Linked DNA regions of Nothobranchius furzeri. The protein of the gene in region 2 interacts with the protein of the main gene of each other region in a biochemical or structural test. Links are inferred from orthologs where the notes say so. Each region holds a gene or a part of one and is shown on either strand. Other genes may lie near its edges. The genes, in order: calpain-2 catalytic subunit and atxn3.

Region 1 (4,402 bases), on a different chromosome or scaffold from region 2:
ACAGCACTTGCAAGGGCGTGTGTGTGTGTGTGTGTGTGTGTGTGAGAGAGAGAGAGAGAGAGAGAGAGAGGGTGTTTCCTCTCTCTCTCTCTCTCTCTAGCAGACGCTTTTTCCAAAGCGACTTACAAGTGATAATCGGCATGTTGCCCTTGAGGCTAACAATAACAACAACAACTTGACATCAGTAATGGAGAGGAAGGAACAAGGAGTGGACGGTAGAGGGGGGACGGGTGCAGGGAGGGTGCTAGTTTAGAAGATGCTCTCTGAAGAGCAGGGTCTTCAGGAGTCTCTCTCTCATCCCCTAACAATAGCTGCAGGCCCCTTCCTGCTGTTCCTTCCTGACAGCCAATCAGAGTGCAGCATGGCAGCGCCCTCTAATTACAGCTGATCCTAGTTCAGCTGCTTCGTCTTAAAACTGTGAAAAAAAAAACTATGAACTGAGTCATGAAACACCCACACACGAACAGCGTGAGTCAGGGAGGGCCTGGCCCAACAGCGAAACACGCACGCACGCACACGCGCACACACACACACACACACACACACACACACACACACACACACACACACACGTGTGTGTTTTAGAGAGAGACAGACAGGACAGCAGCAGGGACATCTGATCCTAGATCAGGTCTTTAGACTCTACCTGGGTGGGTGTATGATGAACAAACCAGGTTTATGAGCCTGGAACTGGTTTATGAAGTTATCCAACCGGTCTGTTTGGGTTTTTCTAAACTGGTTCTGATGATGTATGGATTCTAAACCATGCTGGATCACAAACAGCACTGCTGATCGTCCCTCACGTCTCCTTTCTAATGCTGGACCTGGTGTACCGTCTGCTGTTCGTCGACCCAAATGGACTCAGGTCCCTCTGGGCTGTCTGAACCAGTTCCAGGCCCTGGTGCAGTTATACTGGGACTGACTGAAGCTAGATCTCAGTTCGGATCAAAACTAGATGACTGATTTAACTCTGTGACCTCTGACCTCACCTGTGACCTGACTCTGTGCTGCATTCAGAGACAACCAGGAGAAAACACTCACCCAGAGCCCCCTGACAGATGTCTGTCCGTGTGGCTCCACCCACAATAAACTCCGGTTTGGAGACCAATTCCTAAAGAAGGAGAGAAAGGAAGACTGGTTACCATGACAACTGCTGATTCCCATCAGGTTACACCCGTAGAAGCTGAAACTCAAAAACGTCAGGCCCGTGTGGTGTTGTGGGTCTTTTCCACCAGAACAGAGTCAACTCATCTCAGTGGCTTGAAGCCGTTCCCACCAGGTTCCTGGCCGTTTTATTCAGGCATTCTCACATTCTCACACTGCCGGTGATGTTAAGCTACCACGTAGCCACAGCCTCCCCGGAGCGGCGCTCCAAGTCGACACATAAAAGGGAAGTCGGAGACTGCTGGTCACCGACTGACCGGCAGGGAGGGGTCACTAGTCGCTTCAGAGTTTTCCGCTTGCTTCCCGCAGCGCTTTCTGGGATCAGTCTGATAAAAGAAACCAGACACTGAGCGGAACGCTCAACATCACCATCATGTCCGCCGTTGTTGTGTTTTCCACCGGATCAGATGCAGGCGCCTCCGACCCGGTAGAGCCGTTTCTCACCTGTAATTAAGAAACCACTCAAACTGGTTCAGTTAAGCCAGGCGGACTAGTGGAGATGCAGCATGAGTCAACTCTCGACCTTTGACCCGTGCTCTTTGTCAACTCTCGACCTTTGACCCGTGCTCTTTGATTTTTGTTCTGTCAGGATGGCTGAACCACAGCGGCTGGTTCAGTTCAGAAACATGAATGGACTCATCTCCAAGTCCTTCAAACCCCGTTAGAATGGTCCGGTGGGACCAGAACTGGGTTTCGGGGTCATTTGTTGATGGGCCAGCTCTTCCTGGTAGGGTGTGGACCCTGTGTGAGCTCTAGAAGCAAAGGGGAGAAAAAGCCTGACAGGTATGAGGTAGGCCACCAGGTTTTCTGAGGGGGAGGTGGGGGGGCTGACCCCACCTGGATCAGAACCTTCAAGTTAGCGTTAGAGATGCAAGAGAGCGACCCTGGGCCTTCAGCAGAGAGGGGCTGCACACCAGCAGCAGCCACACCCACCCCTCTCCCGGTTCCGGCTCGGTTCTTACCGTGGGTCTCTTCCAGGTCACTCCGCGGGTCTTGTAGGAGCTGCTGCCCAGTTCTTTGAAGCCCAGAGATTCGGGTGCGGCGGGGAACATCGGGTCGGAGAAGAGCTGCCCGTTGTCCAGGCACTGGGCTCGCAGGGCCTCGAAGTTCTGGTTCAGGTACCGAACCGCGTTGGCGTTGGTACCGAACCCGGCAGCCATGGCCCGCTTCTTGGCCAGAGTTGACGCCACGCCGGACATGATCTCGCAGAGGTTCCGATCGGAGAGAAAGTCTGAAGTTTGGGAAAAGTTTTGTGTCGAAGTACCGAGCTGCAGTCAGACCTCCGCCCTGGAGAGGAGGAGGAAGAGGAGGGAGGAGGGGCCTCCGAACTGGTACCTCTCCATGGAAACCAGCTGTGCGTCAAAGGCTGCAGCTGTGAGCGCAGCGCGTGCGTGCGAGCGCACCGAGGTCCAGACCCGGGTAGCGCGCAAGGCTGTGCGCACCGCGGTTCGTCCAATCAGTCCACTTCTCTCTCTCTTCCACGCGTGCGCGCACACACTCACCTGCTTCCTCAGATTAAAACCGCTATCTCTGATAGTTAAAATAAATAATTTATGTTTAAAATCACTTCATCCTCGCTGCTGTCTCCACCAGGGTAGGGGCTTCCTGGACAGCTCTCCTGTCCATCACAGGGACACACACCTTAGAGTCTCCATGTAACCTAACATGCACGTTTTGGTCTGTGGGAGGAACACATGCCCACAACCGGGATTCAAACCTGCAACTTCCTGTTCTCTAATTGCCCCTCTGGATCAGAACCCGTCCTCCTCCCATCTAAATCACTTTTAAGTCTTTTCTCTGACATTCACATGCAGGACAATCAGGCCACAGCAGAGGGGGCGGAGCTAAATGAGTGATGCAGTGCCTGAATTAATCATTCAGATTAAATGTGAAAGGCAGAAGTAGACCTGAGTTCTGCTCTGATGCAGGTAACATCAGTATATGGACCATATGGACCAGCAGTTCTGAGCTCGGGTCAGTCAGGTGATCTGAACAACCTGCAGGATCATCAGGTGGTCTCAGCAGGACTGAGGTCAGAGTTTTTCCCACCTGCAGCCATCACTCAGGGATTGGCAGCAACGTGCAAGACCAGTGTGTCACATGGTCATTTTGCTGGAGGTCCCTCACCACACCTCTACCTTCTCACAAGGCTCTTATTGTGAAAAAACAAACAATAACACAGCTTTTATTGTGAAAGTCCACTCCTATACCAGCTCTGTTACTTTGGCGGTGCTTGCGATCAGTAGAAGTGAAGATTTCAGAAGGTTCTGATCCAAAGTCTGGCTTAGTTTCTCCTGAAACTAGTCTACCGGAAGACGGCAGTGGGGAGCTAGACCTGGTGGACAACGACCAGGTGAGTTCAACCAGAACCAGGTCCGGTTCCAGAGAACCAGACTGGTGTTCTACCAGAACTAGGACACAGACGACTCTGAGACCATAGGTCAGGTTCTGCTGGGATGAGGATGGTAGTGGATGAAGCTGATGAGACCCGTTAGTCTAGAGGGGTTTTCTCCACATGACCTTTGAACTGTGTGTGCACGCAGGTCGTTTATTTACATACAAACTGCTGTAAACAATAACTAATGAATCAACAAGGAACAAATGTGTCACTTTATTTCTTCTAAAACAAAGAAATCAAGTCTGCAGTGGGCGGGGCCACACTGACATCACAATTACATCATCGTATTTTCTGACGGGCAATGTGTTCAGCCCACCTCAGGGCCTCAGTAATGTCATTGCTGATTCCTGTTCCCTTGGCAACTACAGCAGAGCCACCAGCCCGCCCCCCAAAATGGCCACACACTTCCATCGCCCAATCAGAGGCAGCGAGGGCCGTCGAGTCCTGCCAGGAGAAGGAAGAACCAATCAGAACATTTCATTTTTATCCATTTACCAAGAAGTTAACAGATTACGTTTGATTCTTAATCTAATTCCTTCCAAGTGTTCCTTATAGGACAGAGAGGAGTCAAGCTGGACATCCGGAAGTTTGTATGTGTGTGTGTGTGTGTGTGTGTGTGTGTGTGTGTGTGTGTGTGAACGAGTGAGTGAAAGAGACAGACTGGAGCTGCTGGTGGTAGTGTCCCACCAGTTACCATGTTTACATGATTCATGAGAATTAAGAACGTAGAATGGGTCCATTATGGACCAATGGAAACCCTAACCCCTTTAATGACCACACCCCCTCATGATGTCACTAACAGCTGAACAACATTACCTTGGGAACCTGACAGGCACAAAG
Region 2 (4,344 bases):
TAACATCAAAAATATACTGCTCTCTTCAAACGTTCAACATCACCAGAAGGAAAAAGACAGATGGTGTCAGGAATACATAACCTGTTTGTTTTAGCGTTTCTGACAGGACAAAAGAACTATTGTGCAATAAAACAAAATGACTGACTGAAACTGTGTTTTAATTACTTGTGTGTTGCACGAAAAACCGCTACAAAATCAGGAGGCTTTGTTGTTTTCCGTAAAGCTTTAATCTAAACGTTGGTCTCATATTGCTTCTGTTGAACGCCTTTTCGTTTTACCTCTCAGCAAGTAAGGACATAACTTCCACGTGTTTAAGAAAAGAAACACAAAACCAGGATATAAAACTGTACGATAGAAATAGAAGGCGCCATGGTAAAAAGGCAAATTGCAAACTTGGATTAAACTGCATCGTGAGTCTTCTCCGGTCCAGTGGCCGTGCTTTCTAAAAGATTCAGATGAGAAAGTGCTGCCTTTTCTTTGTCGTTCTTCTCTTCCTCAGTCAGTGACTAACGAGGCGGGAAGGGGGCGGGGGAGTAACCACGTGTCAGCCTTCTGACTGCCCTTATGTTTGCATTTGCAAAAGGTTAGAAGAAGGAGCAAAGCCACCCCTGAGAGGGGAGTTGAATCCAGGCTGCAGGTAAACAACACGGACAAAACTTTCACCACTTTATTGGATGGGAGCTTGTTGTTGGTCCTCCTCAGAGCCAGTGTTTACTGATCCTGGTGGAAATAAGAGCCACAGGTTAAACGAGTCATCAAGTCACATGACTTCTGAACTAAGTTAGATTTAATCACCTGGATCAGCCGCTGAATGTTTGTCTGCTTGTTGAGGAATGCTTGGCTGAGCTTGTTGCTGCCTATAAACACAGAAACATCTGTTTTCTAAGTGGGCAGAGCTCGTTTAGGGATTTAAACAGTCGTTGTAGATCTTACCGATCGAAGTAGGCTCGTCTCCTCTTCCTCAGCTCTTCGGCTGTAAGCGTCTCGTTTTGGCCTTCTTTTTGTTCTCCTGTAGTGCTCTCTGCTGCCTGCCCTCCAGATTTTACACCCTCCCCTTCACTGTCTGACATCCTGTTGCTCATCACTGCTCCTGCAGAAAGACAAATGCAAATAGTTAATTTTACAAACTAATGTTTAGAAGTTTAATACAAGTTTCAAACAGTTTTAAAACCTTCACATGGCACACAATTGACCTTGCATGCTGAGCTGTATGGCTCTGCGTAGATCAGCATCTTCATCTTCCACATCCATGTCCTGTCTACTGAGCGCCAGAGCTCTCTTCAGTTCTTCATCTTCACCCACAGACTCATCCTCAACACCAAAAACCACCTCTGTCTGGCTCAGAGCAGCCGACCTTCTGCTTACAGCAAAACGCACGAATCAGACGAGTTAAACAAACCAGAACCCTTGTGAACAAAATGACACACACCCCGCACTCGTCTGCGCTTCCTCCTCTCCGATGAGCCTTGGCCGCTGCTGCTGATGGACCCTCATGATCCCAAGAATCTGCTCTGCCTCACACTCAGGGAGATTCCCTCGGATCACAAATATGGAATACCCTGCAAAAAAAAAAAAGAACTAATTTAATCATCTTTTCTCCAGTTCAACCTCTAAATGTACAGTTTCTGATGCTACCTTCTTGTTGTAGCTGTGCAAGGAAAAGTGCTAAATATGTGTCTGATATCAACTCTGGTCCTGTCAACAGTGAATTCAGGTTAAACCACTGCAAAGGAAACAGAGAATTTTAGTGAATCAAGCTGCTATAAGACAAGTATGACTAGGTAAGTGAGTGAGTGCCACACACCTGTTGTCCAAGTTTGCGTATAGTAAACCAGTGCTCCTTATAATTGCAAATGAAGGCTTTCTCATTTCTGAAACACAAAGTAAGCATCAGCTTAAAGAAATGAGAGATCAGGATCTTCTATCATAATGTTTCCACATTAAAACCTTACACTGGGTTTATCATTAGGCTCTGGTACTCTCGACTATTAAAGAGGAGTAGCTCCAAGCCCCAGACTCGAAGAGCATTGCTAATCACCTTGAAAATATTGAAACAAGAGTGATATTACAGAAGAGGACATGGATTTTAGAAGCAATAAAAAGATAATTGTAAACTCACTTGTATTGAAAAGAACCCACTATCATCCATGTTCCCAGAGGGTTGCTTTAAACACATTTTCGAAAGAAAAACATGAATAAAATTACATTTTTGATAACATTTTGTACCAATATGTACCCTCTGTCTCATAACACCTGTAAAAAGGTCCTGTACTCCTCACTAGCCATTCCCCCCTCTGCCATCCTCATCCTCTCCTCTTCATCAAGCTGATGAGCGATAGAGGACAGGTCCACAGGAGTGAAATACTCGCCCTGCAGAAGGTTGTTGAGGCAGTGCTGGGCACAGAGGGAGCCCTCTTGCTGCAAACAAAGGATCAGGAATGTAACAAGCATCCAGCATCAGCTGGACTTCTGGAATAAAGATGCTCAACCAAAACAAACACATGTAGCAGCTAGCCCAACGAGGACCCAGCCAAGCAGAGAGCGATTAACTAACAAGAAAACAAAACCCCTACATGACGCCAGGAATAGTTATCATGTTAAAAATCTAACTTTTCACATTCTCTGACTAGCAAGTGAATTAGCGTATTAGCAGTTTGTACAACAACTCCATCACAAACGCCTCGATAGCGGCTACTTAACTGGTAAAACTATTCAGCAGATCGAGCACCGACACCGCTTAATCAAAAATCAGTAAATATAATCAGGTAAATTCGTGTTATAAAATGTTTAAACCTACTTTCTCATGAAATATGGAGTCCATATTCAGCTTTCTGTCAAACGTTCAACTCTCTAACCCCCGCCCCTCACTCGCCCTATCGAGAGGAGACGCCCCCTAGCGGGCGGGCGTGCGCGCGGCACAGTGCTGGACGCCTCTACTTACGGCAAATGGAATATGGCGGACAGTGAGAATTCCATGAACAGGCTGGAGCTGAGTCAGGTATGATGTTCTCTCAGCTAATTCCGTTGACAGCGCTTTCTGAGAGTTTGTGGCAAAACGACGGAGTTTAAAATAAAAAAAAAATCATGTGTAATAAGGTTTTACTGCATTATGGTAGAAGGTTGTTCTTGCCAGGCTAATAATAGTCGTAGCCGCCAAGGCTAACTAGCATTAGAGAGGCATCACGCTGTTTATTACGGATAAACCGACTTTATTTTTACTTCTTTTCGGGATAAATTTAGTCTTTTTCCATGAGAAATGATGTAAGTGTTTGTCTTTCCCCTCTGTGCTTACACATGACATTTAAAATGCTTAGCCTGAGGTCCTGAATGCCTTTTCCGTTTATTTACAGTGAAAGTAAACTAGTCTACTGTTACTGTGTTGTTATTCATATTTAGGTTTACCTGTTCAGATATTTTCGCCTCCCAAACACCAACATAATCACGCATTTTTAAACGTCCTAATGTAGTTACAGCCTTTGTGTTTTATTATTGAGAAATCCGTCTAATGTGGTTTTTGTTTTAGTTTCGTATAAAATAAATTATTTCAGTTTTATTTTCAAAACCGAAATATAATTTTTGTATAATTTTACTTGCTTCATCCAATCCATTGTATTATTTTCAAGGTGTTCAGTTGGTACACAAAAACATATTTGTTCTGATGATGCATATTTATGTAAGTGAACCTAAACAGACTCCTGGCGTGGATGTACCATACACTCACCAGTTTGTTTAGCAGGTAAACCAGTTCAGATGCTTATTAACACAAACAGCCAATCAGGTGGTAGCATTTAGACATGTGGACATGATGAAGTTTTGTCTGATTATCTGGGGAAGAAAGGGGATTTCAGTGGTAATGAATGTGGTTTTGTGCTGGTGCCAGGCAGGCTGGTCTGAGTGTTGCAGTTTTCATCATGATATTAGCAAAAGGTTGCATCTCAACTTCAGCTGCAACATTCATAAATGTTAGGTTAGACTTTGATGTTAACAACTTGAAAACATGGATCCATCTTAACGGTTCAGGCTGCTGGTGGTGATGTAATGGTCTGGGCCCGTACCTGATTATTGTTGGCGATAGTGTCCATACTTGTGTTTCCACACTGGACCCATGCTCTGACGGCTACATCCAGCAGGATAATACTACAAAGCTCTAATCATCTCAAAATGATGTTTTATTCAAGCCGCTACAGTCACTACATCTGAATCGAATTAATCACATTTTAGAAGAGGAGACTCACATCACATGTTTTCAGGTGACAGATCTGCATGAACTGCTTGATAATCCTATTATCTAAATATAGACCAACATCTTTGTATTAGGTTTCCAGTGACAAAAGGCAGTTTTGA

Evidence for each region.
Region 1: of the proteins of atxn3 (region 2) and calpain-2 catalytic subunit, one has a biochemical effect on the other in vitro, tested with the Homo sapiens proteins (2 studies listed by BioGRID). The link is inferred for Nothobranchius furzeri from reciprocal best matches to the Homo sapiens genes ATXN3 and CAPN2.

The regions. Positions count from the first base shown.
Region 1 is NC_091746.1:29,421,970-29,426,371, reverse strand, and holds the start of calpain-2 catalytic subunit, read right to left. Parts: upstream 2,903-4,402; 5' UTR 2,364-2,902; coding exon 2,127-2,363; intron 1,112-2,126; coding exon 1,042-1,111; intron 1-1,041. Other genes in the region: aars2 (alanine--tRNA ligase, mitochondrial), read right to left, coding at 3,842-4,006, 4,379-4,402. UniProt on the Homo sapiens protein: Calcium-regulated non-lysosomal thiol-protease which catalyzes limited proteolysis of substrates involved in cytoskeletal remodeling and signal transduction. Proteolytically cleaves MYOC at 'Arg-226'.
Region 2 is NC_091758.1:31,655,849-31,660,192, forward strand, and holds atxn3 (ataxin-3), read right to left. Parts: upstream 2,912-4,344; 5' UTR 2,822-2,911; coding exon 2,798-2,821; intron 2,419-2,797; coding exon 2,254-2,418; intron 2,165-2,253; coding exon 2,120-2,164; intron 2,039-2,119; coding exon 1,953-2,038; intron 1,872-1,952; coding exon 1,805-1,871; intron 1,724-1,804; coding exon 1,636-1,723; intron 1,560-1,635; coding exon 1,430-1,559; intron 1,358-1,429; coding exon 1,194-1,357; intron 1,091-1,193; coding exon 934-1,090; intron 858-933; coding exon 796-857; intron 721-795; coding exon 668-720; 3' UTR 654-667; downstream 1-653. Other genes in the region: E3 ubiquitin-protein ligase UBR1, read left to right, coding at 2,954-2,998. UniProt on the Homo sapiens protein: Deubiquitinating enzyme involved in protein homeostasis maintenance, transcription, cytoskeleton regulation, myogenesis and degradation of misfolded chaperone substrates.